Ovis aries: one gene and its partners. Each later gene encodes a partner of the first gene's protein in a complex. Links are inferred from orthologs where the notes say so. Each region holds a gene or a part of one and is shown on either strand. Other genes may lie near its edges.

Region 1 (3,949 bases):
CGAGTCCATGAATACAAAGAGGGTGCTGAAGAAGATGCCCATGAGCACCATGCCTACCACTACCACGAGCAGGAAGAAGTCCAAGGGGTCCCCCTGGCTTTCCACCACAGTGAGAGAGCGCTTGATGAGCTGGTTGAGCATGAAGCTGATGCCACCCAGGACCAGCAGCGCCTCTCCAGGGGTGAAGCAGCGAGGCAGCAGGTACAACAGGATCATGTTGAGGTACACAAAGATCAGCAGGGCCTCCAGGACCTCGATCACCTCGCCAACACTCAGCGAGTGCTTCATGATGTAAATGATGACGCCTCCAGCCAAGCCAGAGATGACGCAGGTGTTGGTGGGCACCGGGCGAGTGATGCCCAAGGCCAATACTGAGGAGAAGAGGGCCACTGCCATGCCCGTGGCTGCCACCACAATTCCGAACCGCTCGAAATATGGGTTCCCCGCAGCCTGGCAGCGCTCCTTCATAACCAGTCCTAGCAAAGGCATGACCACCGAAGCGGGCAGTAGGCCGCTGTTCGCGGACATTCGGAACTGAAAGACCGCGCTTCCCTGCTGTAGGAGCCGGTCCCATTTGTACTGAACGTAGAAGGCCTGCACCGCGAGGGCCACGGCGCACCACGAGTATCGATCCCACACGGCTGCGTGGATGCTCAGCACCACTACGAACACCACCGCCGCCTCTGCCAGCACGGAGCCACTCAGCGGAGCCCCGGACCCAGGGGTCGGGGGAGCGCACTCTCGGGTCATGTCTCTAGACTCCGGACCCACGGAAAACCGGGGTGACTAGGGATGCCTTGGACTCTGGCCCTTTAACCCCCGCCCGGCAGACAGCGGTAGCTTCGCCTTGCCAGCACCTTCTTTCTCCGTTCTTCAGCTTCCTCCAGAAAGGAAGCTCCACTGTAGGCCACTCTATGCTGCCTGGGAGTCGGCGTCAGGCTTTCCTCCACCAGTTCCCACTCACGGCGTAGACGTCTCCCCTCTGCCACCTCCCTCACAGCCTCGGCCGCGCTTGCCTGGGGTTCCTCACCTCTCCCGGCAACGCCATGTTGGCCCCGCCCCCGCACCCACGTGACGAAAACCCGGTCCACGCCCTGGAAGCGCGCGGTCACGTGGGCGTGGCGTCTGGGGGCGGGGCTGGGGGCGCGCGCGCGCGCGAAGATGGCGGCTGCCGCCGGCGGTCCGTGTGTGAGGTGCGGAGCGGGCCGAGTCGGCGGGGATGACTGAGGCGCGGGGTCCAAACCAAGCGCAAGCCGGGGCGGGAGTTGAGGGCGAGATGTGGCGGCAGTGGCAGGATGAAGGCCGGCTAGGTGTACGGGCGCCGGGACGGGAGGCGGTTACGGCCAAACGGTCCCCGCGCGCGGGGATATGAGGCGACTTCTGTGAAAGGGGGGCCGGCGCCTCCCCCCTTCCCGAGGCGCCGGCCTCCCGTCTCCTCACCCGGCCCTTCTCCTTCCCTCCCCTCTCCCGGCGGCGCGTCCCTCGGCGCCCCCTCCCCCCCTCACCGCGCTTCCTGTCCGGTGTGACGCTCCCTCGAGGCGCGACGGGGAGCTTCGCGGTTGCCCGGGGGAGCCCCCACCCGGTCCCCGCCGCAGCCTCCCGTGCCCGGCGGGCTCTCCCCCGGTTCCGCCATGTGCTCTTGCCGGGAGGTCTGTTTCGCGAGTGGCGGAACCACCTCCTTGCGGTTTCTGCCCTTTTCCGCCGCTCTTTCATTCATCCATCTAGTTGTTTTCTCTTGCACTGATTCCTTCAGTCGGCATCCCGGGCGCTGTTACTGGGCTTTAAAAGGGCAGGAAGAGAAAATATTAAAAAGACAGTTCTTACTAGCGTACTAGCGCCAAACCCTGGCGACGCGCTTTCTGGTTCTCCGCGTTATCTCCTTGAACTCCCACAACTCTGGGGAGGCACCTTGTAATTTACAGATGACTCACAAACCCAGCTCCCAGCTGGAGTGTCCCACTCGGAAGCTTTAGCCGGATCGCCGCACTTGCATCTCTCACTTGTAGCTTCAAAGTGTTCTCCATTCTCCCTTCCACCCGTCCCGCCCAACCGCGCCTGCCACTTTTTTTTCCCCCTTGTTCCAGCAACGTCTCCCCACTTTTTTGTCCTCTTCACTTAACTGCTGTAGCCTCAACACCCAGAAGAGCAGTAATAGACTCTCAGTAAATGTTTATTCCACTTGTCGCTTCTTTCACCTCTCTGTTGAGTGAGATTTTCATCTGTGGAATGTCCATTGAACTGCTTCTGAACTTTGTGAGAACCGGTTTGCTTCTTCCTCCATCCGTTGTGTCATGTCAGCTCTTATGTCGGGCAGCATCGTGGTCACCGTGCTTTCTTTTTCTCAGGCTTATCTTACAGTCCTTGTGGATCTTGGGTAAAGTTTAGCTCCTGCAGGGCAAGGCGGCTTCTTTAATGAAAGGGATTTTTACTTCCGTGGTATTTCCAATCTCTTAGTTGCTTTCATCCAAAGGTTTCCAACCACGTGGATATCTCTGATTATTTCCTATTTCCACCTACTCCAGCTTTTAGAGAAGTGGAGTTCCATGTTGTCTGCTAGAACATTGGGCTGCAAGTCAATAAATTTTTTGAATCTCACTTTTGAGGCAAATTATTTAATTTCTGTGCCTTAGTTTGTACTTATCTCAAATTTATTTACTTGTTGTGCAAATAAATGACAGATACTGTAGCACTTATTTCATTTCTTGAAAGTATATGTAGATAATGTTACCCTGAGGCTTGAATTGGACATCACAATTCCAATCTTGTCTGTTGAGTCTTGAGAATCACCTGCTCAAACCTCCAGGTCTGTTTGAGGTGAAGTCTTCCTTCAATCCCTGGGTTAGTTCCTAGTGATCACTGTCTTCTCTGACTCTTTTCTGTCATTTGTGGTTATATTCCTTGTAGTGTCTAATTGTTAGGGTCCTGCCCTTTGGTACTTTCTACTTTTTAGCTGAATGTGTTATGTTTAACATCCTTTATCATTCCCAACACTAAGTTTATGAGTGTCGTGAAGGTCTTAGATTTATTTGGTTTCCGTTATTCCTAGATCATAAATGTGTAGGAATTGAGGAGCCAGTAACACTCATTTCTAGGATGATTTCCTTTCTGATAAGCTACAGTTTTCTCTTTTGTTCTGCCATGTCTTGGCACTTCTGCATGTAATTTTTTTTTCTAGTTTTTCTGTTCCAGTTAGTTTGCAGGTCTGAAAGGGACTTGGAGTTTTGTTTTTTTAAAATTGATTTGTTAGTTTTTGCTCTGCTGGTCTTCATTGCTTTTGTGTGGGCTTTTTTTTTTTTTTTTCAGTTGTGGTGAGCAGGGGCTACTCTTTGTTGTGGTGCGCAGGCTTCTCATTGAGGTGGCCTGCTGTGTGCCAGCCCCGGTATTAGAGTATGATATACCACTGTAGGACAGAAAACTTCACCTCAGTCTTTATCTGCTTGCAGAGTGAATTCCTGGGTACAACTTGACGCCCTGTCTTACAATGATTAAACTTTGGAGTCTTGCAAGCCTAGGTTCAAGCCCTGGTTCCATTAAATATTAGCTTTGTGGCCTTACAGAAGTTACTTAACCACTCTGAAACCTTAGTTTCCTGATGAGATGATACGGATAGTATTTGCCTCATAGGTCAGTTGAAATATTCAGTAAGACAAAGCATTAAAGACTTAGCACGGTCCCCCACATAACTGCTCAGTAAATGTTGGCTCATCTTGTTAGCCAGCTTGTTTTCAATAAACATTATTTTTGACACCTTATAACAAAAAGACCATGCTATGACTTGGTTTTGCAAATGAGAATATTTCTAAAGAAATAGCTATTTTCTTCTTTTAATTAGTAAGTATAAAAGTTACTGCATTACTTCAGTCTTGTTTTGTAGCAGAATCTTTTTCTCCCCTCTCCACCCCCCAAAAAAGCCGATTCGTCAGACATAAAAGGCAAAAAAAAAAATCTA
Region 2 (3,500 bases), about 140 Mb from region 1:
AGTCTGTATTAGATTCTAATATATATGAGAACCTAATAAAGGACAGATGACCTTTCCTTTCAGAGGAAGAGGGGTGGTTTATTTACAGACATGGTATGGACATAATTGATTTTCCATCTGAAATAAAACAAAGCTAGATCTCTGCCTCATGACATGCATTACAATCAGTTCCAGGTGGAGCAAATATTTGTAAAAAAGAAAGAAAGACTGCTGGAAGAAAATTTAGACAAATAAAAATTAAAACCCTCCTACAAAGGCAGGTCTATGGTTTCCTGTCTTTTGGACACATAAGAATTGGAGGCAAGGAAATGTGGATTTAGAGAAGTCCGGTGCTAGCTTGCTTGCTGCAGGCTCACGATCAACCATCCCATGTAGAAAAAAAAAATTGACCAAAAATATAGAAATTATTTTCTTTAGGAAAAAAATTTAACAGCAGGTTACTTGTAAATTTTTTCTACTCTGTGCCTAATCACTATTTTGATGGATTTTATTACTCTTGGTACAATTTGCAGATGAATGCTTCCAAAACCCACTGTTTATATTGAAGGAAATCTTATAGTTTATTTTGCTTTGGTCATCTGTCCCCTTCTCTTCTGGTTCACCATGCACAGTCAAGGAAAACAGTAAAATACATTAATAAAAATATATCTGTCTATGTGTGATTAAAGCATTTTAATTGAAAAAAGAAAAAGTTTTATAACATTTACAGAGATTAAATTGTTTTATCACAGTTCTCTGTTTCAAAAAATAATGTTCAACCTTGAGTCCCAACGGCAGTATCTTTCTCATACTTTATTTAGGTTTCCTAATACCCTTCATTTCCAGCTTTTTCTTTGTCTGAATGCACGTGTGCTAAGTGGTTTCAGTCGTGTCTGACTCTGCGTCCCCATGGACTGTAGCCTGCCAGGCTCCTCTGTCCCTGGGATTCTCCAGGCAAGAGTACTGGAGTGCATTGTCATGCCCTGCTCCAGGGCATCTTCCCGACCCAGGGATCGAACGTCTCCTGTGGCTCCTGCGTTGCAGGGTGATTGTTTTACTGCTGAGCCACCGGGGAAGCCCTTTGTTTGTATATGTTCCTTCAACACTTTATGTTTTTAGCTTACCAATGAGTATATACTACAGAATGACCATAATAAATTTACAGAAAATGTGAAAATTTTTTCAGAGAGTTCTAGAAGAGAATCAAGAACATTATCATGTAGTTCAAAAATTCCTTATCCTGGGAGACATTGATGGTAAGATATATTTTATTTTACTTTGCATGAGTTCTTTGGTTTTTTAAAGTAGTTTTCTAAAAAGTTATCAAAACAGTGCACATGACTTACCACATCTTGTCATCTCTTTCAACCTATTTGACTGCAACTATATAATTTTTAGAAAATAAAGTTTGACTTTAATCCAGAGGCTGTTTGATGTGGTAGTTCATAACAATAAGGCAGTGAATTGATAAGAGTGCTATATGAATATAATAAATGTCCTTGGATAGAGTTTATGTCTCTTTTTTGATTTGTATCCATCTAAATCTTTGCTTTAATGGTTTGTAGGTTTGATGGATGAATTTAGCAAATGGCTTTCCAAAAGCAGGAACAGTCTACCTGGACACCTCCTCCGCTTCATGACTCACCTCATTTTGTTTTTCCGCACTCTTGGACTACAGACCAAAGTAAATAAAAATGAGCTGTATACTCTTCTCTGCAAGGCTGACGCTTTATACATCTGTTGTTAGGAAAACATGATACTACTTTGGGGTTTTGTTTTCTAAAATGGTGACCATAGTCTCACATTGTCGCTCAGTGATAACTCACTGCAGATGACTCTAATGTTCTGATCTGTGACTACAGAATGCTGATGTTTACCTGGACTGGAGACAGTTTATAACTTCAGTCCTCATCAGTACCCAACTCGAAATCAACCAGCAAGCTAACTGAACCAGACTAAGTTTTCTGTGGGATTTTAAGTCTTTGTTTTCTTTCTTTTTCTTCTGTCCTAAATGATTGGTAACATTTTGGGCAGAGTATGCATAGAAGGCAGAATGATGTAGTAGTTGAGAGCTGGGGTTTTGAATTAAAAATCTTGGATTCACATTCTTACACAGAAGCTTCTAGTGGTGTAAATCTGGGTAAATAAAACCTCTTTAAGTCTTAGATTCTTCCTCTGAAATGTGAACAGTAATAGTAATTACTCACAAAGAGTTAGGGTAAGTTAATACAAGAAATTTGTTAAGCAGTTAGCCTTGCATGTAGTAATTGCTGCTAAGTCATTTCAGTCGTGTCCGACTCTGTGACCCCACAGACGGCAGCCCACCAGGCTCCCCCGTCCCTGGGATTCTCCAGGCAATAACACTGGAGTGGGTTGCCATTTCCTTCTCCAATGCATGAAAGTGAAAAGTAAAATTGAAGTCGCTCAGTCATGTCTTACCCTCAGCGACCCCATGGACTGCAGCCTTCCAGGCTCCTCCATCCATGGAATCTTCCAGGCAAGAGCACTGGAGTGGGGTGCCATTGCCTTCTCCAGGCATGTAGTAATTGCTCAGTGGTAAATACTAAAAATCATTATGACAGGATTTTTATTAGTATTGGTGGTACACATAAACAGCTGTATTTATAATTTAATTATATCTGTTTTTTTCCTATGAAGGAAGAAATTTCCATTGATGTTTTAAAGACATACATACAGGTAAACTCTGGTAAAACAGGTAAAATCAAATCCACAGTTTGATTCTTTTTTTTCCTTTGACCATTTTAATGAAAACATAAATCAGAATGATAGTATTTTAATATCTAGTGGCAGAAAGGTTATCAAAATATCATAAATATCATACCAAATATCAAAATACATAAATATCTGTTAATTATCATAAATACTTTGTTTTGGAATTTAAAGTTAATCCTGTTTAGCAGTACAACTCTATGTCTGTATGCATCTCTCCTAAATATGTTAAAAATTTTGAATTGAATAGTGCTGTTGTTCCTAGAACTTGCTTTATTATTGACATATTAACATTTTGATCCTTTTCTATTTTTCAGCTTTTAATAAATGAGAAACATACAAATCTCATAGCATTTTATACCTGTCATTTGCCTCAAGACCTTGCTGTTGCCCAGTATGCATTATTTTTGGAAGGTGTTACAGAGTTTGAACAGCGCCACCATTGCCTGGAGCTGGCTAAAGAGGCAGGTAAAAATGGAAGGCTTCATCTGTTGGGCTCTGTAAGCAGATTATCATTTTGTCTTAGTAACATATATCCTTCTAGTTTTAAATCCTGTTTTTCTTGAGAGGAAAAGAAGGAATGACATTTTCAATGAAATTCTGTTTTGGAATGAAATAACTTATACTGTATATTGTGTAAAATATCTTTTAATTTTGGTATTTTCTTTTATAATTTCTTTCATATTTTAAAGAATTGTTATCCCAGATTTACTAAATCATTGTGATTATTTAAAGAATATTAGTGTGAATGAGTAATTTCTTGTTTCTGTCCCTTCAAAAAATGTTTTAGA
Region 3 (3,337 bases), about 55 Mb from region 1:
AGCTAAGGTGGAGAAGTTACCAACTTGTAATCAGTCTGCTTTCAAAGTAGCAGATTTGGCCTCTTGGAGAACATTCTTAGGCTCTAAAGTTACTTTTTTCATGTAATAGAATGTTTTATGAAATAAACTACCCTTGGAGCTGTGTTGTGTTTTCAGGTTTCAAAGGATGCACTTTGAATGAAGAACCTGCTTTATTACTAAAAGTTCAGTGTCACTAAGACCTAAGGCTTATACAACCCTGTCTGTATACCCAGGCGTAAATGTTACTACATTCCTTTGTGCTCACCACTTGAGCTTAACTTGCCAGGAGAATGCAGTTTTAAGCATTTTTATTAGAAGTATGTCACATCATTGGAAATTAGATTCATTCATAAAGTACTGTAACAGGGATTAAAAGCTTATTAAAATAGATATCACTGTTTAAATATCCTAATTTATTCATCAGATAAAAATTTCCAGTGGGCAAATACTGGAGCAGCAGTGTTTGGAGCACAGTCAACTGGTAAAGTTGGCGAAGATGAAGATGGTAGTGATGAAGAGGTAGTTCATAATGAAGATATCCATTTTGAACCAATAGTGTCACTACCAGAGGTAAATATTAAAGTGTAAAAACCTTATACTAACTTCACATTTTAAGTTTAAAACTTGACATGGGCTTGATTTGTAGGGCTGACCTTGTTTGCATTTCTTTCAGAACATTGACCATTACAAATGGAAGCTCTTTATTACAAGTTCAATCTTAAAATGTAAATCATCCTTGTAAAAAAATTTACATACAAATGTTATTTGGAAAATTCTGTGTGAAATTGTTGGGAAGAACTTAATTTTTTCCTGTTTGTTTTCAATAACATAATTGAAGGAGCAAAATATTAAAAACCCATCTAAGCTGATATTTGCCACAGTCCTTTCAATAAAAAGTATATTGTACTTTCTCTAGACAGGAATGTTATTTTAGGCAAATTACTTTCATCAGTTTGAACCTTAGTCAGCAGATAGTATTTTTCTTGAAGAACAAGATTTTTTTTTTTTTAACCTCTTCTCTCCTGTAAAAGATTGTATTTGATTTCCAAAAAGAGGAAGGATGTTAATAAGTACAAAGAAAACATTTAATGACAAATCTTTCCTGCCTCATCCGAATCTGCCGTATAGTAACCCTAGGATGTTAACTCTTTTCAAATTCTGTTCATGTCAGTGTGTTAAGGAATTTGGATCTTTGGAATTTGTTATGAGTATTTTATAAGCAGCAGCTTATAGGTAATTTCATCTCCTGTCACAGGTAGAAGTAAAATCTGGAGAAGAAGATGAAGAAATTTTATTTAAAGAGAGAGCCAAACTTTACAGGTGGGATCGAGAGGCCAGTCAGTGGAAAGAGCGTGGCGTTGGAGACATGAAGATCCTCTGGCACACGGTGAAGAATTACTTTCGGATTCTGATGAGGAGAGACCAGGTGTTCAAAGTGTGTGCGAACCATGTCATCACCAAGACGATGGAACTGAAACCCTTGAATGTTTCCAACAATGCTTTAGTTTGGACTGCCTCAGATTATGCTGGTGAGCTCTGCACTCAATGCTACTTTCCAGTTTTTTACTTTTCTAAATTGACAACAAATATATAAAACAATTTTTTTTAAGTTATTTTAACACTAAGGCCATTGTGTTGTTTAACAGATGGAGAAGCCAAAGTGGAACAGCTTGCAGTGAGATTTAAAACTAAAGAAATGGCTGATTGTTTCAAGAAAAAATTTGAAGAATGTCAACAGAATTTATTGAAACCCCAGAAATCACTGACATCAGAGTTCTCAAAGGAGACAAATCCTGTGGTGTTTTTTGACATTTGTGCAGATGATGAGCCCCTGGGACGCATAACCATGGAATTATTTTCAAACATTGTTCCTAAAACTGCTGAGAACTTCAGAGCACTGTGCACTGGAGAGAAGGGCTTTGGTTTCAAGAGCTCCATATTCCACAGAGTGATTCCAGATTTTGTTTGCCAAGTAAGTCTTAAGTGTGCATCACACCAGTGTGGGAAATCTGAGTGTTTCTCCTTACCTGTAATTGTAGACTATAGCTTTCCCACACCCCCAGCTTCTATCCCCACAAGAACTTGCAGCCTAAAAGCGTTCATATTTCTAATGCCTTGAACCTGATAGAAATTAAGGGTGGGAAAAGATCTTTTCATTTTTGTTTCCTTTCACAAATTTCTTAGTTTTTTCAAACTGCATTCTCAGAGAAGCTGGGTATTTAGGACCACCCCTTCAGTGGTTAGTTCTGTATGTGTTTTAATGTTTTATTTGTGATTCCTGTTAATTGAAATCTTTTTTTCAGGGGGGAGATATCACAAAACATGATGGAACAGGAGGACGGTCCATTTATGGAGATAAATTTGAAGATGAAAATTTTAATGTGAAACATACAGTTCCTGGTTTACTATCAATGGCCAATCGAGGCCAGGACACCAATAATTCTCAGTTTTTCATAACACTGAAAAAAGCAGACTGTTTGGACTTTAAGCATGTAGTATTTGGGTTTGTTAAAGATGGTATGGATACTGTGAAAAAGATTGAGTCATTTGGTTCTCCTAAAGGGTCTGTTAGTCGAAGAATTATTATCACAGAATGTGGACAGATATAAAATCATTGTTTTCCATAGTAAATTTTACCTGTATAAAAGTTGAATTGAGGCCTAGCTGTTTTGACAACATGGTAATTAATTATGTTCAGCTTTTGAAAATGGACTCCAATGTACAAATGTAAAATTGCAGCTTATAGCTGTTGTCACTTTCTAATGTGTTATAATTGACCTTGCATGGTGTGAAATAAAAGTTTAAACACTGGTGTATTTTCAGGTGTACTTGTGTTTATGTACTCCTGACATATTTGTATTAAAATGGAATACTAATCTTGTTAAAAGCAATAGACCTTCTCAAACTATTGAAAGAATATGATATATGCAATTTAATTTTAGTTCCTTTTAAGATATTAGACTTCCTGCATGGATATACTTACTGTTTGAATAAAGGGACCATGACTTGGATAATTTTTATTTCAGATTTGGACTATATTTGGTAATTTTAACTATTGGTGTGTTCAGTTATGAACAGATTCACTTGTAAATGGGTAGAGCCACAGAGGGCAGAGACTTAACCAAAGTGCTCTTCTATAAATTCTTGCACCTCCTGTATAGTTAAATTCTCTTTTAAGCAGAGTACCTTCTTTCCTTAAAATACGTAGCTTCCTGCGCCCTTTCAAAGGTATTAAATTAATTTTTACATTTTAAGTTGAGTAATTATTGTTTAAAAAACCTTTCTGTCATCTGTTTCTACTACCTCAAACTGCATT
Region 4 (3,500 bases), on another chromosome or scaffold:
TAAGATAATGCCCCTAAGTGTTTTTCCAAGTCTATGAATCCTCAGCGTCACCAAAGAACTTCTTTTTCTTGTAGGTGATCATCGTCTTGCTCTTCTTTTATCCCAGTTGGTTGGCAGCCAGTCAGTTCGTGAGCTGCTTACTATGCAGCTGGTGGATTGGCATCAACTCCAGGCTGACTGCTTCATCCAGGAGGAGAGACTGCGCATCTTTGCCCTCTTGGCTGGAAAACCGGTATTTTCCTCTTTTCTTGTGAACTCACATAAATATTTTCATAGATTCAGGATTACTTGAAGTTAAGGCAAAGAGCTATCTTTTAAGTTGTATGTTGTTACCTATAACTAAGCAACTTATATTTAACTTTGAGCAGAAATATTTTCAAATTAGAAAGGTGCCACTTCTCTTTCATTTTATGTATGATGTATCATAATGACTTTAAGCCAGTTTTCTTGGTGCCTACCTGTTTTGCTTGCCATCAATTTCCGAAAACACAGTCACTGATCAGAATTTATTCACATCTTAAAAAGTTGGCCACTGTGGGCAGTGAGTGGTTCTCATCACTTCTCAGCGCACTTATTGTCTAAGTGCCTCCTATTTAGTCCACCCAGTCACCTGCCACCAGGGAACTGTGTAGTTTATATCTGGGCCATTAACACTGATATTTAAATCATTTAAAATGCAGTTTAAATAAGTGAGCAGCATGCAGGCTTGGGCAATAACAAGGTAACATATAATGTAGAGCTGTGGTGGTGATTTTGCCTCCTGCAGGTGTGGCAGCTCTCAGAGCAGAAGCAAATCAATGTGTGCTCCCAGTTGGATTGGAAACGCTCCCTGGCTGTCCATCTTTGGTATTTGCTTCCACCAACAGCTTCCATTTCCAAGGCGCTCAGCGTGTATGAAGAAGCATTTCAGGTACATATATCCAGTAGAACCAAGCACGAGTCCTGGTGGGAGTTCTGGTTTTACTAGAAAAGTACTCCTACTCCAGAGGAAAAAAAACCATCAAATCATATTTTGCAATACTTTTTTCTAACTACTTTTTTGAAATTACCGTAAAATTGAAATGGACACAGGAAATGATGGGAAATTTCTTCAAATATCTGCTTATGTTTTGCTTAACACAAGGAGTTTCCACAGTTTACTCTTTTTTTAAAAAGTGATTGTATTATTTTTTGCTACGCTGGGTCTTTGTTGCCTCACTCAGGCTTTCTCTAGTTGGGCAAGTAGGGGCTACTTCTTAGTTGCAGTGTGCGGGCTTCTCGTTGTGGTGGCTTCTCTTGTGGAACACAGGCTCTAGGGCATGTGAGCTTCAGTAGTTGTGACACATGGGCTCAGCTGCCTCTTGCCATGTGGGATCTTCCTGGACCAGGGATCGAACCAGTGTCTTCTGCCTTGCAAGACAGATTCTTAACCACTGGACCGTCAGGGAATCTCACAATATATTTTCTTACTGCTGTTTTTCTGCACCATCATCAGAGGGTTTTTCTTCATTCCTAATGCTGTTTTATTCCTTTGGGAATTCCCTGAGCTACAGCCTGACCTTGTGTTTAGTATAGCCCCAAATTAGCACGTCTGAAATTTGCCTCTAAATATCATTATATTAATATTTCATATTCCTTGTGAATTTGGAGGTTAAAGTATTCTTGATGTTTTTAATGCCATTGTTTGGTTCTTTTCTTACTGCTAATTTTTATTGTCTTTGATATCATTTGCCAGAATTATTTGTCAGGGAAAAAAGAACACTAAAAAAAAAAACTAAGTGTAATGAAGTTTAAAATCCTTGAAACAATCCTTTAGCGGATGTCACACCATTCTTGGGGCTTCCCTGGTGGCCCAGAGGTTAAAGCGTCTGCCTGCAATGCAGGAGACCTGGGTTTGATTCCTGGGTCACGAAGATCCCCTGGAGAAGGAAATGGCAACCCACTCGAGTACTCTTGCCTGGAGAATCCCATGGACAGAGGAGCCTGGTGGGCTACAGTCCACTGGGTCGCTAAGAGTCGGACACAACTGCGCAACTTCAGTTTCACTTTCACACCATTCTTAATATACATCTGAGTAACTGAGATATATCATCATCTAGTGAAACACACTTGCAACTGATGTATTGTTTTATTCTTAACTTCAGAATACCTCTGAGGGTGACAGATATGCCCGCTGTCCACTTCCTTCATACCTAGAGGGCTCTGGATATGTGGTAGAGGAGGAGCAAGATTCACAGAGACCTCTTCAAGATGTCTGCTTTCACCTTCTAAAACTCTACAGTGACAGGTAAATCAGTCGTGTTACAATCACTTGAGGGCTCCATGAACCTTAGGGAGTTCTTTCCCTTTTATATGTGGTCAAATTGCCATAAGATTATATTAATCACAAAATAAAACAGTAATGGAGTTCAAAGAGCATGGGAACTAGAATTAGAAATCTAAAAATTTACATTTTAAATCAACTATATTTTAATAAAAAATTTAAAAACAATTATTTTAATCAACTTCAATGAGATACAATTTATATATATTGATAATAAAGTGTGTGGTTTGATATTTTTTAATGTGATGTAACTACCATCATTATTTGGATAGCATTAACATTACCCTCCAAAAGTTCCCTCATGTTCCTTTGCAGTCAGTCCACACCCCAGACAACTACTGACTTTTTATTATTGTAGATTACTTTGTTATTACAGAATTTTATATAATTGTGTATGTTATCTTTTGTGCCTGCTTTTTTTTACTCAACATGGTGATTTTGAGATTTATCCATATTAATATGTATAATGGAAATTTAATTTTTATTCTTTTGTTAGTGAACAATTTTTTTGGGTCTTAGGATATTAAGAATAAAGCTGTTGTGACCACTTGTATCTAAAAGTCCCATCAAGATCTATAATTGCTCCAGATCTTCGTCAAAATTTGTTATTGGCTTTTAAAACTTTATCATTTTAGTGGGCATATAGTGGCATCTCGTTTTTGTATGCTTAATAAGAAATTAATATATTAACATGTTGTTATATCTAATCAAATAATTTAAACTATCTCAGAGCTGGCTTTTTACCTTACATCAGAAACACTGAGCAGTTTTCTCCAGTCAGAAGTAGTAGCTCACATCTCACTTCAGTTTTTTAAGTACTTTTTTTTAAATTAACTATACTAATTTTAGAATAATAGTCTCTTATTGTGGTAAAATACAGATAACTAAAATTGTGTTTTAATTTGCATTTCCCTTAATACCTAATGATGGCAAGCGTTTTTTCATGTGTTTATTTACCATCTACATATCTTCCTGAAATGTCTGTTGAAATCTGTTGCTGCCACCCCCATCCCGCCACTTTAATGGGGGTATCTAATAGTTCTTTTTTATGTTGTAATAGTTTTTTTCTTGAGCCAGTTTTGTTCATTTGTTTTTCCTAAGAAATTTTTCTGTTTCACCAAAGTCACCAGATTTATTGGCATAAAGTTATTTGTAATTTGTCCTTATTGTTTTTTAATGTCTGTAAGAGATTGAAAAG
Region 5 (4,004 bases), on another chromosome or scaffold:
TAAATCCTTCAGTTTCAAATATTTTAATTATGTGAATGAAAAATAAGCCCCTCTATAGGAATATATTTTTACATTTAAAATATTATTCATTTTACCATGTGAAAAGGAGTTTCTAAAAAGATACAAGTACTACTCAACTTTTGGAGAAGGCAATGGCACCCCACTCCAGTACTCTTGCCTGGAAAATCCCATGGATGGAGGAGCCTGGTGAGCTACAGTTCATGGGGTCGCTAAGAGTCGGACACAACTGAGCAACTTCACTTTCACTTTTCACTTTCATGCATTAGAGAAGGAAATGACAACCCACTCCAGTGTTCTTGCCTGGAGAATCCCAGGGATGGGGCAGCCTGGTGGGCTGCTGTCTATGGGGTCACACAGAGTCGGACACGACTGAAGTGACTCAGCTTAGCTTAACAGTAAATGTTTAAAATGGTTTACATTTCCAAAACCAGTTCAATTAAAATATTTAGAAATGCATTTTTAATCAGTGGACAAAAATGCAAAATGTTTTAATAGAAAAGATATATTTTAAGTGTATTACCTTTAATTCATGATAATCTATTGCTTCATCTTTGTCTGTGTCAAATAGTTCAAAAGCATCTTTAATTTCTTGTTTCTGTTCTTCAGAGAGTTCTCTTCTTTTTTTCCTCTTTGTTTTGTCTACTACAAGGTCATTTCTATGGAATGATAAGAAAAAAGTCTATTTAGTCCACTTTAATCCTATTGTCATATGCTTCTAAATGATAAAATTCCAAAAATGCAACAAAAAAATTAGCCAATGAATGTTTTAAACTTCTAAAAAGTATTTTATAAAAAATTTCCTTACATGAATCAAAGCCCTGCTCAATCCATTGTCTAAGCTGCTTTAAATTTGTACCTCCCTAAAACTGAAAAGTTTTACAGTTTTAAAAGGTTATTAAAAGAAATGAGGACCTAGCTTTTCCTCTTCCTAGCTTTGTATTCATTCCCACTAATATTACTGTGGAAGAAACAAGAACTGTGAAAAAGAAACAGTTCTGTCAGAAACCCCAACAAAAAACAAACACCCATACTTATTCTCATCATTCTACAATACAGACTGTTTTAAAAAATAAGAATTCAATTCACAATTGTTGATCTCTATATATTAGGTTTACTTTCATAGTGCTTAGAATTATCAAAATTATTGCCAAAAAATCTAATTCATCAATTAATTTACAAACTATTTTGGCACAGTTTAGACTAGTATTTTTAGACTACACATTTTAAACTGGCACTTTTTTGTAATTTCTCCCATTGATATTAACAAATCAGCCAAAATAATGAACGTAAGCATACCACGAATATCAAACACCAAAAAAGTACTTAATATTTGTGGTATTTTATTTATATATAAGGTGAAGAGTCAACTGTCTCATAAATCTCAGCATGTACATCTAGACAGTTTGTCACAAACTCTGAAAAAACTTAAAGTACAAAACGTAATTTACTCTAAAAACTAGAAATGTATTCCTTAAGAGGTGCCAATATAAGCATTTCAAATTTTCATATGGGGCTTACAACACTTGTACAAGCTTTGAAACAAGAATTCTATAAACTTTAAAAATGTAAAAACCAGTTGACTTTTCTTTAATTCTGTGAAATCTACTCTAAAAAGGCAAGAGATGACTAGAAAATGACCAAATGAGGTTATGATAAAGCTCTTTCTTTCACAAGAGACCTGAATTCACAAAAACTTGGAAACTCCGGGGGTTATTCTCTTCCCAAGATTCCGACCAGACCAAAGTTCACAACCCACCGACAGTAGACCTCATTTCCTCGTCAGAACTCGCTTCCTTTTTACTGAAGCGTAACTACATAAACACTTTTAAGGTAAAACTTTTAGTTGTGGTTGGGAGAGGGAGCAACAAACAGTGGGTTAGAGGTTGGAAATGAATGAAAAGTAAAATCAGAAAATTTAGGAAAGCTAAGAGATTACCAACTAAAATCACTAAAAGGGGCCTCTGATTATACCCTTTTGCAGGGCCCCAGGAGAAAGAGGAGAGGTTTTGCGTTGTTTCCAAAATTTACGGGTAAATATGTTAGTAGGGGGCTTCCCAGGTGGCTCAGTGGGTAAAGAATATACCTGCAATGCAGGAGACGCAGGTTTGCAAGATCACCTGGAGGAAGGCAGGGCAATCCTCTCCAGTACTCTTGCCTGGAGAAACCCACACCCAGAGGAGCCTGGCGGGCTACAGCCCATAGGGTCACAAAGAGTCTGACACGACTGAAACGACTGAGCACGCATGTTAGCAGAAAGTCGGCCGAGATGGAAGCCGTGGACAAGGCACTGAACCAAGGGATGCTCCAAGGCCTGGTTTCCCGGTTTCTCGCATAAACACCGCGCATTGAAACCTCGCGATATTTCCCTGCCTCCTCAAGACTACCTCAGCCCGGCTTTTTGGCGGTCTAAAGCCAGTGCCCTGACAGAAATGACCGCCTCAGCTAAAGTGCAGAGCTCACCAGGGCCCCCAAGGGGAGGGGTCTGGGCCCGGGAACGTTGACCAAGGATCCCGTCCCTCGTCCCAAACTGCATTCCCTTCCTCGCTTCGGCCCCCAGCTGTTTCCCTTCCACACACAACCGCCCTGGGGCCCGCTGCGAGGTGTGGAGTGCATCTGCCGTCTCCTCATTACCGACCTCAGAGCTAAACTCATTTTCTCTTCGGACTGAGGCGTTCCTCTCGAGAACGATTTTAACCCCCTACCCAGAGCAGCAAGACTTCCACAAGCCGTTCGACAGACGCCAACGACCCTCAGCGGTCTCAAAAACCTCCCACAAAGCAAGACACTCCTGAGCTGGATTGGTTGAAATCGCTAACGTCCTGCCCATTGAGGCGAAAGCGTCACTTGTCCTCTGCTCTCATTGGTCTTATTTCACGTCAATCAAATAGATCTCCCTGCCGGCATCCCCTGCTACGCCTCTCCCCCTGTAGATTGGCCTGTTGCTTTCCGCCCCACCCCCACGCCCCACCCCAATCCTAGAGAAGCTAGGACTCAGGTGGGAGGTGGCGAGCTATGCTTCTGACCAGAAAGGCTGTGGCATGTGGCCCAGTGTCCGGAGACCCGGTGGAAAGGGAAGGGATGAGATACGCCGCAGGCTCTCCTCCGGCTAGAAGGAGGGAGCGGCTTTCGAACTGTGTCTGCGAAACTTGACTCTACTGTATTGTACATTTTTGGATGGTTTGAGTACATGGGGAGTGTGTTTAAAACGCAGATTTAAATATCACTCATTCTAATTTCTAGTAGGTGTGAATCTGCATTTTTTTATACAAACTTCAAATGATTCTGAAGCAGATACTGCGGATTATATTTTGATAATCACTGAGTTGGATTATTAGGCTATTTAAGGTTGAAGCTGTACCTAAGGGCCATTTGCTCCCCTATTCCTCCTTTGAACTGGTTTGTTCGTTTTTGTCCTTTATTTTCGAGTGCTGTAAGCTGCTTATACTCATGATGTTATCTTCACCACCAAACGAAGTCTCTTAAAGCTCACTTGGACATTTAATATCTTTACTGTTCATCTCTCCTACTAATCTTAAAAGGCTTATATCCTTCATTTAACACTATTCCTAGTGCCTAAAACAATGTATGATTCGTTGTAAATGTCTGATGCCTCTGCTCCGTAGATATTTGTTGCATTAAATGGAATCTTGCTGTGAAAAATCGCAAAGTACTGAGCTAAACTGCAAATCTCAAAAAGGAATGAAATAGCCAGAGAGTAGGTGTCCAGTAACAGAAGAGGGAAGATATTGATATATAAAACTGTGGCATAAATATAAAGAGATACATGTACACGTTTAGAGAAGAGAGAGAACACAGAAGGTATAAGAAAGACTTCTTGAAGGAGATGGCATATATGTTAAGCCTAGAAGGATGAGCTAAATTTGGGTAAGTAAAGATGGTAAAAACATCCACTTCCACTTTATTGACTATGCCAAAGCCTTTGACTTTCAGATCACAACAAACTGTAGAAAATTCTGAAAGAG
Region 6 (3,500 bases), about 1.9 Mb from region 1:
AGACGACGGGCTACACTTTAACTCTCCACTCTTCTCTGTGTGACAGCAGTCGTGTTACCTCTGTAATAAAAAATAAAGAAGCAGACCTGTTATTAACTAATAGTAATACAAGAAGTCTCTGGAAAAACAGATGCGGCGAGAAAGCCAGCAGCCGTGAAGTCACTACTCAGAGATGTTTCACATGACCTGTTTCCCCTTGGAGTTTCTTTTCCTTTGACATGTATCACATTTCATTAATTGCAGAATCTACTTTTAAAGCCTTAAATTTGACCTGCACTCCAGTTACTTTGATGTCTTTCCTGGAAAGGGTAAAGTGGCATGCCTTGGTTTGAAATTGACAGTTGACAGGGCCAGAGAGCCCATTCAGAGACCTTGAGCACGACCGAGTCCTCACTCTCCCCTTGACTGCTGACCTACAGGAAGCACGTGACCTGGGGCTGCGCTTTGCGTGGCACTAAGCATTCAGTGCCACAGAGAATTAAACTAAAATGGTGTTGGTTTTTTTGTAATGCTCTTCTTTTTTTCCCATAATTCCAGGACCAGTGGCAACCAAGATAGAAACAGCTGTGACTTCTACCCCGTCTACTGTTGGGCAGTTCAGCAAGCCTTTCTCATTTTCATCAGGGTCAGTTGTAAACTTAAGTTTTGTGGCAGATCACAAAATCCTTATAGATTGCTTCTCCAAATCTTATAGTCAGCGGGTATACTTATATGAAGCCAGAGTTCTTATCTCCACAGTGACACATTTAATGATAGTGGGAGTAGCTTAGTGTCCTAATGTAAATCTGTTTGCCCTTTTCGATTCAGTTTTATATGTGTGTTCTTACTGGCTTGTTTGTTTTGTTGTTTAGGATAAGCCTTGTTTGGGTAGTGGGTCTGTGGTTGCTCTAGTTTATCACACCGAGATCTTTTCATTCTGACACCATCTGGCGGCTGGGTGAGACCTTGGATTGGCTTCGCTGCCCCGAGAGGTCACATTATACTAGACTGCTGAGCAATCAAGACAGTGGCCATTTAAGAATTGGGGTTTTATATAGATGTGGGGAAGTCCATTTCTGTTTCATTTTTTTTAAAGTGATGATGTCTGTACTTGTCAAATTGAGTTATTTTTAAAAACAAAAGGGTCTTCTAACCCTCAGTCCAAAGGAAGTTCTTATTAACGTTGGAGGGGGCATACCTTTTCACTATCCTGCGAACACTCATCATGAAACCTGTGAGAGTTGGCAGAGCATCTCTCTTCTTTGGGGTGGAGTTAGTCTCTGTGTGGCTGAGATAAATACTCATCCAAAGATTGTTTTCACTGTGAAGGGTTGCACATTCAGTTCCACTAGAAAAGTCTCTTAAGCTCTTCCAGTTTATGCTTTTGTAACTGGAATCACACTGACCACAGTCTCTTTTCCCTGCTGTGAGTTTGTTTCTTGAACACCCTTCAGCCTAACACATTACGAGAAAGGAGGGTGTTAGAATAGAATTTTAAGGGGGAAATCATATATATTTTCCTGTAAATCATTAGTTTTCTACTCCCCAAAGGTAGTTTGGAGCACAGTTTTAGAGAGTAGGTCAGTTCCAGGAGCTACCGCATCTGTTAATTAATCTTTACTTCTGTGAACCTGATACTCTTCTTCCCGTCTTTAAAATAACCTACAGAGGTTTGGGTCATAGGTCAGCTGCTTACCTCTGTTACATCAAATTTCTTCACCAGAGTTGAGACAAAGAAAGAGATTTGTTTTCTTTTTTTTAAGATGATAAAATATTTAACACATCTTAGGTGGTCTTGGACCATTTGATGAAGCCAGTGACGAGTTTAAAAAAAAACCCAACTCTACTCTTTACTGTTACTTACTCTTTTTGATATGCTCGGCTTTTTATCAGGTTGCCCAAAAAGTTCGTTTGGGGTTTTCCATAACATCTTACAGAAATGCCTAAATGAACTTTTTGACCAATCCAACAGTTTTTAATTTGCTATTTGAACTTTTCTCAGAATGAGTACTCCATTCTGGCTCAGCTGGTGCTGAGTTTTCTTCTTTGCTTATATTGTCTTCACTCACAGGGTGAAGAAAATGTACAGAAAGAGAGGAGAGGATGAAAAGAATCAGATAGGTTTTTGAGGGACTTTTCCTGGTGGCCTAGTGGTTAGGGTACAGCTACAGCGCTTTCATTTCTGTGGGCTGTGTGCAGTGCCTGGTCAGAGAAGTGAGATCCCACAAGCCACTTGGTGCAACCAAAATTTTTTTTTTAAAGTTTCTGAACCAAATTTCCCAGCCGAGGACTAAGCGTTTTGTCCGAACAGCAAAGACAGTGGCTTCCATTTCATACTGTCTGTTGTCTCCCCCAGTGGCATGCGCTGTCCTGACGTGCTCCCTGGGTGGGTCATAGGCTCCTCCTCACCTAGCCCATCCCGTCCGCCTCACTAGGCGAGCCAACCGCTCCAGCCACCATCCCAAGGCACAGTCCTAGTGCTCCTTCACTTTCCTTGAAATAGGTCCCCACCCCCTCTACCATGGGAAGCCTGGCTGTTCCTCCAAGGCCTCCTCACTGGCTGCTTCCCTCTCACCTCACCCACACATCGCTCCCCCCCACGCTCTGAGAGCTCTGCGCTGCTGCTTCAGAGGCAATGCGCTTGCTGATGTTTATCGATAGATTGCAAGTCCCTGAGAGTAGATTATGTGAATGGATTATAAATGTACTGTTAAAGGGCAGTGTTGCGCCTTAAGTCTGTTCGTTTTTAACTTCTTTTCTTCCACCCCTAGGACTGGCTTTAATTTTGGGATAGTCACACCAACACCGTCTTCTAACTTCACTGCCACACAAGGTACAGTCTCTGCATTGAGTCGCCTCACTTTCGTGTTTCCCTCTAAACAAGTGCAGGTTTGAGGGAGGCAGGTTGGTTGACATTTTACTTGCTGCTGCATTTTGCTTAAAGTATCTGCAGTGAACTTGGTGTTGATATTATGCATTAGAAATAGGCTGGATTTAAGAAACTGTGGGGAATGACTTTTGTCTTCATAGTTAAAAACTCAGAAAGGGTTTGCTTTTAGAAAGGCAAGGCTGTGCTTTAAATGTGAATGTTTACACGCAAATTAAAATTTCTTTCTCCATCTTTGTCATATGGTATTTAAAATTATATCAATTTTTAATAATCATAATATGTAGTGAAACTATATGTAACTTTGTTCTGTATTTTCCCAGTTTCCTGTAGAGTGTTATCATACTTTCATAATTTAAAAAAATTTTTTTTGTTTGTTTTGTTTTAAAAAAATTTTTTAAATGAAGTCAAAATTGTATCAATTTGTAGGTTGAGATAGGCAATGGTAAAGAATCCACCTGCCAAGGCAGGAAACGCAAGAGATGCTGGTTCAATCCTTGGGTTGGGAAGATCCCTTGGAGGAGGAAATGGCAACCCACTCCAGTATTCTTGCCTGGGAAATTCCATTGACAGAGCCTGGTGGGCTGCAGTCCACGGAGTCCGACAGGCCTGAGTGATTGAACACACACGCAGT
Region 7 (3,500 bases), on another chromosome or scaffold:
AGAATTTCCCAGAACCCAATGTAAAAGAACAGATCTAAGCCATATCCACAAGTTCCATTGGAATAGGAGTGCGTAGAAGATGAGGACAGTATGAAGGAAATACCAAAGAAGCAACAGGAGGAAACTCCCCACATGTAAAGAAAGACACTGGTCTTAAAAACGACGTGTTCACTGCGAAGGACCAGTGAAATTTTAGGACACCAGGGCCAAAATCCTGAATGCTTTCAGAGAAAAGAGTTTGCCACAAGTAGATTATCAGATTAGCATCAGACTTCTCATTTGTAACATGGAATGCCAAAAACAGTAGAGCAGTGACCTCAAAATGAAAAAATGGTCTTGAGTTGAGAATTCTGTTAACCAGTCAAATACTTTCAGACTGTAAGAGCAACATACAGATGTTTTTCAGACAAGCAAAGAATCAAAAGTTGAATACGTATGAACACTTTTGAATAATAAATTGGAAACACAAGAAAATGAAAAATTAACCTGAAAATATTTGTATGGAATTCAGCACCTAGGTATGAGCAGTTTTTATCTATAAAATTTTACTTAAAAAACACCCTTCAAAGAAAGCAAAAACTAAATTATCCATTATTACTTAGAAGGAATAAAAATGAGATAGGGTCTAATCAAATTTAATCCTAGTATCACTATACTATTTCCATTGAAACATGCATTTTCAACATCCTATTAAGCAACTTGAAAGTGACCTATTACATTTACTGTCAGTTATATTGGTGCCCATACTGCAGTGTGACCAGCCCTGTCTAGTAGATAGTGTTGGAATTGAGAGATTATTGGAACAAGTTTTTTAAAAAAGTCGTCTACTAAAGGTAGCTGGATTCAGGGTCACCATATAAAGAATCAATAGCTTTCCTCCAAATCAAAAGTGAATAGTTTGGTAGCATATCCCATTTATATTTTCTAACAGTTCCAATTTGTGTTTTATAATGTCAGCAGAACCTGCAACATCATAAATAAGAGAACATAAATGAGGTATTTTATACTTGTTCCTGAGTGAATATCCTTTCCTCTCTACCTCAGCCCCAATAGAATTTCAGTTCTTAGAGGAATTTTTGTGAACTTAACATGTGAAAATAATTCTAAAAATTCATATGGAAGGGAAAACTTGAATTGTGGAGAGAAAGGCTGGCATACCGTCAGGTTTGCCCTACTAATATCCAGCAATGCTATAAGGCTGCAGTATTTGAAACAGTCCAGCAACGGTAGCTGTAGAGGTTTGGCAGTTTAGTATGTTGTAGAGTTACAACTTAGTGAGCAGGCTAGGGTGCACTAGTCTGGACAGCAAATTCAGATAGTGGTGTCCAGTGAGATTTGGATTTAAGGAGTATTTAAAAATATATGTATACTTTGCAAATACACATAAATATTACGTGCATATATATATATATATGAATAGTTTTATGTGTTTGACTATATCAAAATCTAACAAATTTCCATTCGATGAACTAATTTATATTAAAATCTTAATGATTCTCGGAGAAGGCAATGGCACCCTGCTCCAGTAGTCTTGGCTGGAAAATCCCATGGACGCAGGAGCCTGGTGGGCTGCAGTCCATGGGTTCACTAAGAGTCTGAGATGACTGAGCGACTTCCCTGTCACGCATTGGAGAAGGAAACGGCAACCCACTCCAGTGTTCTTGCCTGGAGAATCCCAGGGACGGGGGAGCCTGATGGGCTGCCATCTGTGGGGTCGCACAGAGTCGGACATGACTGAAGCGACTTAGCAGCAGCAGCAGCATAAGCAGTAATGATTCTATTTGCTAATGGATGCTAAGATTTTGGGGTAGGAAAAAAATGCCTTCTGTTATTACTTGTTCTTAAAGAATTTTGTTTCTTAATTTCCATCTTACAGATCAAGGTGCGGCCAAGCCAGTTTTTAGTTTCTTGAACAGCAGTTCCTCTAATTCAAGTGCACCAGCCACTTCAGCTGGTGGTGGCATATTTGGCAGTTCCACCTCGTCCTCCAGCGCGCCTGTGGCTGCCTTTGTGTTTGGACAGGCCAGCAATCCCGTGAGCAGCTCTGCCTTTGGAAATGCTGCCGAATCTAGTACATCTCAGTCTTTGCTGTTTTCTCAAGACAGCAAACCAGCAACCACATCAAGCACGGGTACAGCTGTCGCCCCATTTGTCTTTGGCACAGGAGCCAGCAGTAATAATGCTGCAAGCTCTGGCTTCAACTTTGGAGCTACAACCACATCTAGCTCTGCAGGTACGTTTAAAGACAAAAACATGTTGTAGTTGAATTGGCTTTCATTATAAGTAGATGATCTCTTAGTGTATAATATCACAAGAAGGCATGGCTGCATTTAGGTCGTTTCTAGCTGGGATGTTGTAATTACTCAGTGTGGAATGAAGTACATTTTGAGTTTAATATAATTCCGGACCACAGCCTTGTCTAACTCAGTGAAACTAAGCCATGCCTTGGTGGCCACCCAGGACAGGTGGGTCATGATGAAGAGGTCTGACAGAATGTGGTCCACTGGAGAAGGGAATGGCAAAACACTTCAATATTCTTGCCTTGAGAACCCCATGAACAGTATGAAAAGGCAAAATGATAGGATACTGAAAGGGGAACTCCCCGGGTTGGTAGGTGCCCAAATATGCTGCTGGAGATCAATGGAGAAATAACTCCAGAAAGAATGAAGGGATGGAGCCAAAGCAAAAACAACACCCAGTTGTGGATGTGACTGGTGACAGAAGCAATATCTGATGCTGTAAAGAGCAATATTGCATAGGAACCTGGAATGTCAGGTTCATGAATCAAGGCAAATTGGAAGTGGTCACACAGGAGATGGCAAGAGTGAATGTCAACATTCTAGGAATCAGCAAACTAAAATGGACTGGAATGGGTGAATTTAACTCAGATGACCATTATATCTACTACTGTGGGCAGGAATCCCTTAGAAGAAATGGAGTAGCCATCATGGTCAACCAAAGAGTCCGAAATGCAGTACTTGGATGCAGTCTCAAAAACAACAGAATGATCTTTGTTCGTTTCCTAGGCAAACCATTCAATATAATGGTGATCCAAGCCTATGCTCCAAGCAGTAATGCTGAAGAAGCTGAAGTTGAACGGTTCTATGAAAATCTACAAGACCTTTTAGAACTAACACCCCAAAAAGATGTCCTTTTCATTCTAGGGGACTGGAATGCAAAAGTAGGAAGTCAAGAAACACTGGAATAAGAGGCAAATTTGGCCTTGGAGTACAGAATGAAGCAGGGCAAAGACTAAGAGTTTTGCTAAGAAAATGCACTGGTCATAGCAAACACCCTCTTCCAACAACACAACAGAAGACTCTGCACATGGACATCACCAGATGGTCAACACTGAAATCAGATTGATTATATTCTCTGCAGCCAGAGATGGAGAAGCTCCATACAGTCAGCAAAAACAAGGCTGGGAGTGACTGGCTCAGATCATGAACTCCTTATTACCAAATTCAGACTTGAAATTGAAGAAAATGGGGAAAACCACT

The links.
Region 2: NUP188 (region 1) and NUP107 share a complex: the UniProt entries of both Homo sapiens proteins name them as parts of the nuclear pore complex. The link is inferred for Ovis aries from reciprocal best matches to the Homo sapiens genes NUP188 and NUP107.
Region 3: NUP188 (region 1) and E3 SUMO-protein ligase RanBP2 share a complex: the UniProt entries of both Homo sapiens proteins name them as parts of the nuclear pore complex. The link is inferred for Ovis aries from reciprocal best matches to the Homo sapiens genes NUP188 and RANBP2.
Region 4: NUP188 (region 1) and NUP98 share a complex: the UniProt entries of both Homo sapiens proteins name them as parts of the nuclear pore complex. The link is inferred for Ovis aries from reciprocal best matches to the Homo sapiens genes NUP188 and NUP98.
Region 5: NUP188 (region 1) and CETN3 share a complex: the UniProt entries of both Homo sapiens proteins name them as parts of the nuclear pore complex. The link is inferred for Ovis aries from reciprocal best matches to the Homo sapiens genes NUP188 and CETN3.
Region 6: NUP188 (region 1) and NUP214 share a complex: the UniProt entries of both Homo sapiens proteins name them as parts of the nuclear pore complex. The link is inferred for Ovis aries from reciprocal best matches to the Homo sapiens genes NUP188 and NUP214.
Region 7: NUP188 (region 1) and NUP153 share a complex: the UniProt entries of both Homo sapiens proteins name them as parts of the nuclear pore complex. The link is inferred for Ovis aries from reciprocal best matches to the Homo sapiens genes NUP188 and NUP153.

What each region holds. Positions count from the first base shown.
Region 1 is NC_056056.1:7,472,789-7,476,737, reverse strand, and holds the start of NUP188 (nucleoporin NUP188), read left to right. Parts: upstream 1-1,149; 5' UTR 1,150-1,161; coding exon 1,162-1,193; intron 1,194-3,949. Other genes in the region: DOLK (dolichol kinase), read right to left, coding at 1-750. UniProt on the Homo sapiens protein: Component of the nuclear pore complex (NPC), a complex required for the trafficking across the nuclear envelope. Required for proper protein transport into the nucleus.
Region 2 is NC_056056.1:151,265,837-151,269,336, reverse strand, and holds part of NUP107 (nuclear pore complex protein Nup107), read left to right. Parts: intron 1-243; exon of another isoform or gene 244-375; intron 376-1,165; coding exon 1,166-1,235; intron 1,236-1,544; coding exon 1,545-1,663; intron 1,664-2,637; coding exon 2,638-2,676; intron 2,677-3,026; coding exon 3,027-3,177; intron 3,178-3,499; coding exon 3,500-3,500. UniProt on the Homo sapiens protein: Plays a role in the nuclear pore complex (NPC) assembly and/or maintenance. Required for the assembly of peripheral proteins into the NPC. May anchor NUP62 to the NPC. Involved in nephrogenesis.
Region 3 is NC_056056.1:62,092,733-62,096,069, forward strand, and holds the end of E3 SUMO-protein ligase RanBP2, read left to right. Parts: intron 1-445; coding exon 446-591; intron 592-1,276; coding exon 1,277-1,550; intron 1,551-1,667; coding exon 1,668-1,993; intron 1,994-2,324; coding exon 2,325-2,630; 3' UTR 2,631-2,837; downstream 2,838-3,337. UniProt on the Homo sapiens protein: E3 SUMO-protein ligase which facilitates SUMO1 and SUMO2 conjugation by UBE2I. Involved in transport factor (Ran-GTP, karyopherin)-mediated protein import via the F-G repeat-containing domain which acts as a docking site for substrates.
Region 4 is NC_056068.1:50,105,121-50,108,620, forward strand, and holds part of NUP98 (nuclear pore complex protein Nup98-Nup96), read left to right. Parts: intron 1-74; coding exon 75-232; intron 233-766; coding exon 767-910; intron 911-2,123; coding exon 2,124-2,266; intron 2,267-3,500. UniProt on the Homo sapiens protein: Plays a role in the nuclear pore complex (NPC) assembly and/or maintenance. NUP98 and NUP96 are involved in the bidirectional transport across the NPC. May anchor NUP153 and TPR to the NPC.
Region 5 is NC_056058.1:87,599,832-87,603,835, forward strand, and holds the start of CETN3 (centrin-3), read right to left. Parts: upstream 2,801-4,004; 5' UTR 2,674-2,800; coding exon 2,657-2,673; intron 678-2,656; coding exon 542-677; intron 1-541. UniProt on the Homo sapiens protein: Plays a fundamental role in microtubule-organizing center structure and function. As a component of the TREX-2 complex, involved in the export of mRNAs to the cytoplasm through the nuclear pores.
Region 6 is NC_056056.1:5,537,231-5,540,730, reverse strand, and holds part of NUP214 (nuclear pore complex protein Nup214), read left to right. Parts: intron 1-537; coding exon 538-625; intron 626-2,750; coding exon 2,751-2,812; intron 2,813-3,500. UniProt on the Homo sapiens protein: Part of the nuclear pore complex. Has a critical role in nucleocytoplasmic transport.
Region 7 is NC_056073.1:39,067,132-39,070,631, forward strand, and holds part of NUP153 (nuclear pore complex protein Nup153), read left to right. Parts: intron 1-1,876; coding exon 1,877-2,233; intron 2,234-3,500. UniProt on the Homo sapiens protein: Component of the nuclear pore complex (NPC), a complex required for the trafficking across the nuclear envelope. Functions as a scaffolding element in the nuclear phase of the NPC essential for normal nucleocytoplasmic transport of proteins and mRNAs.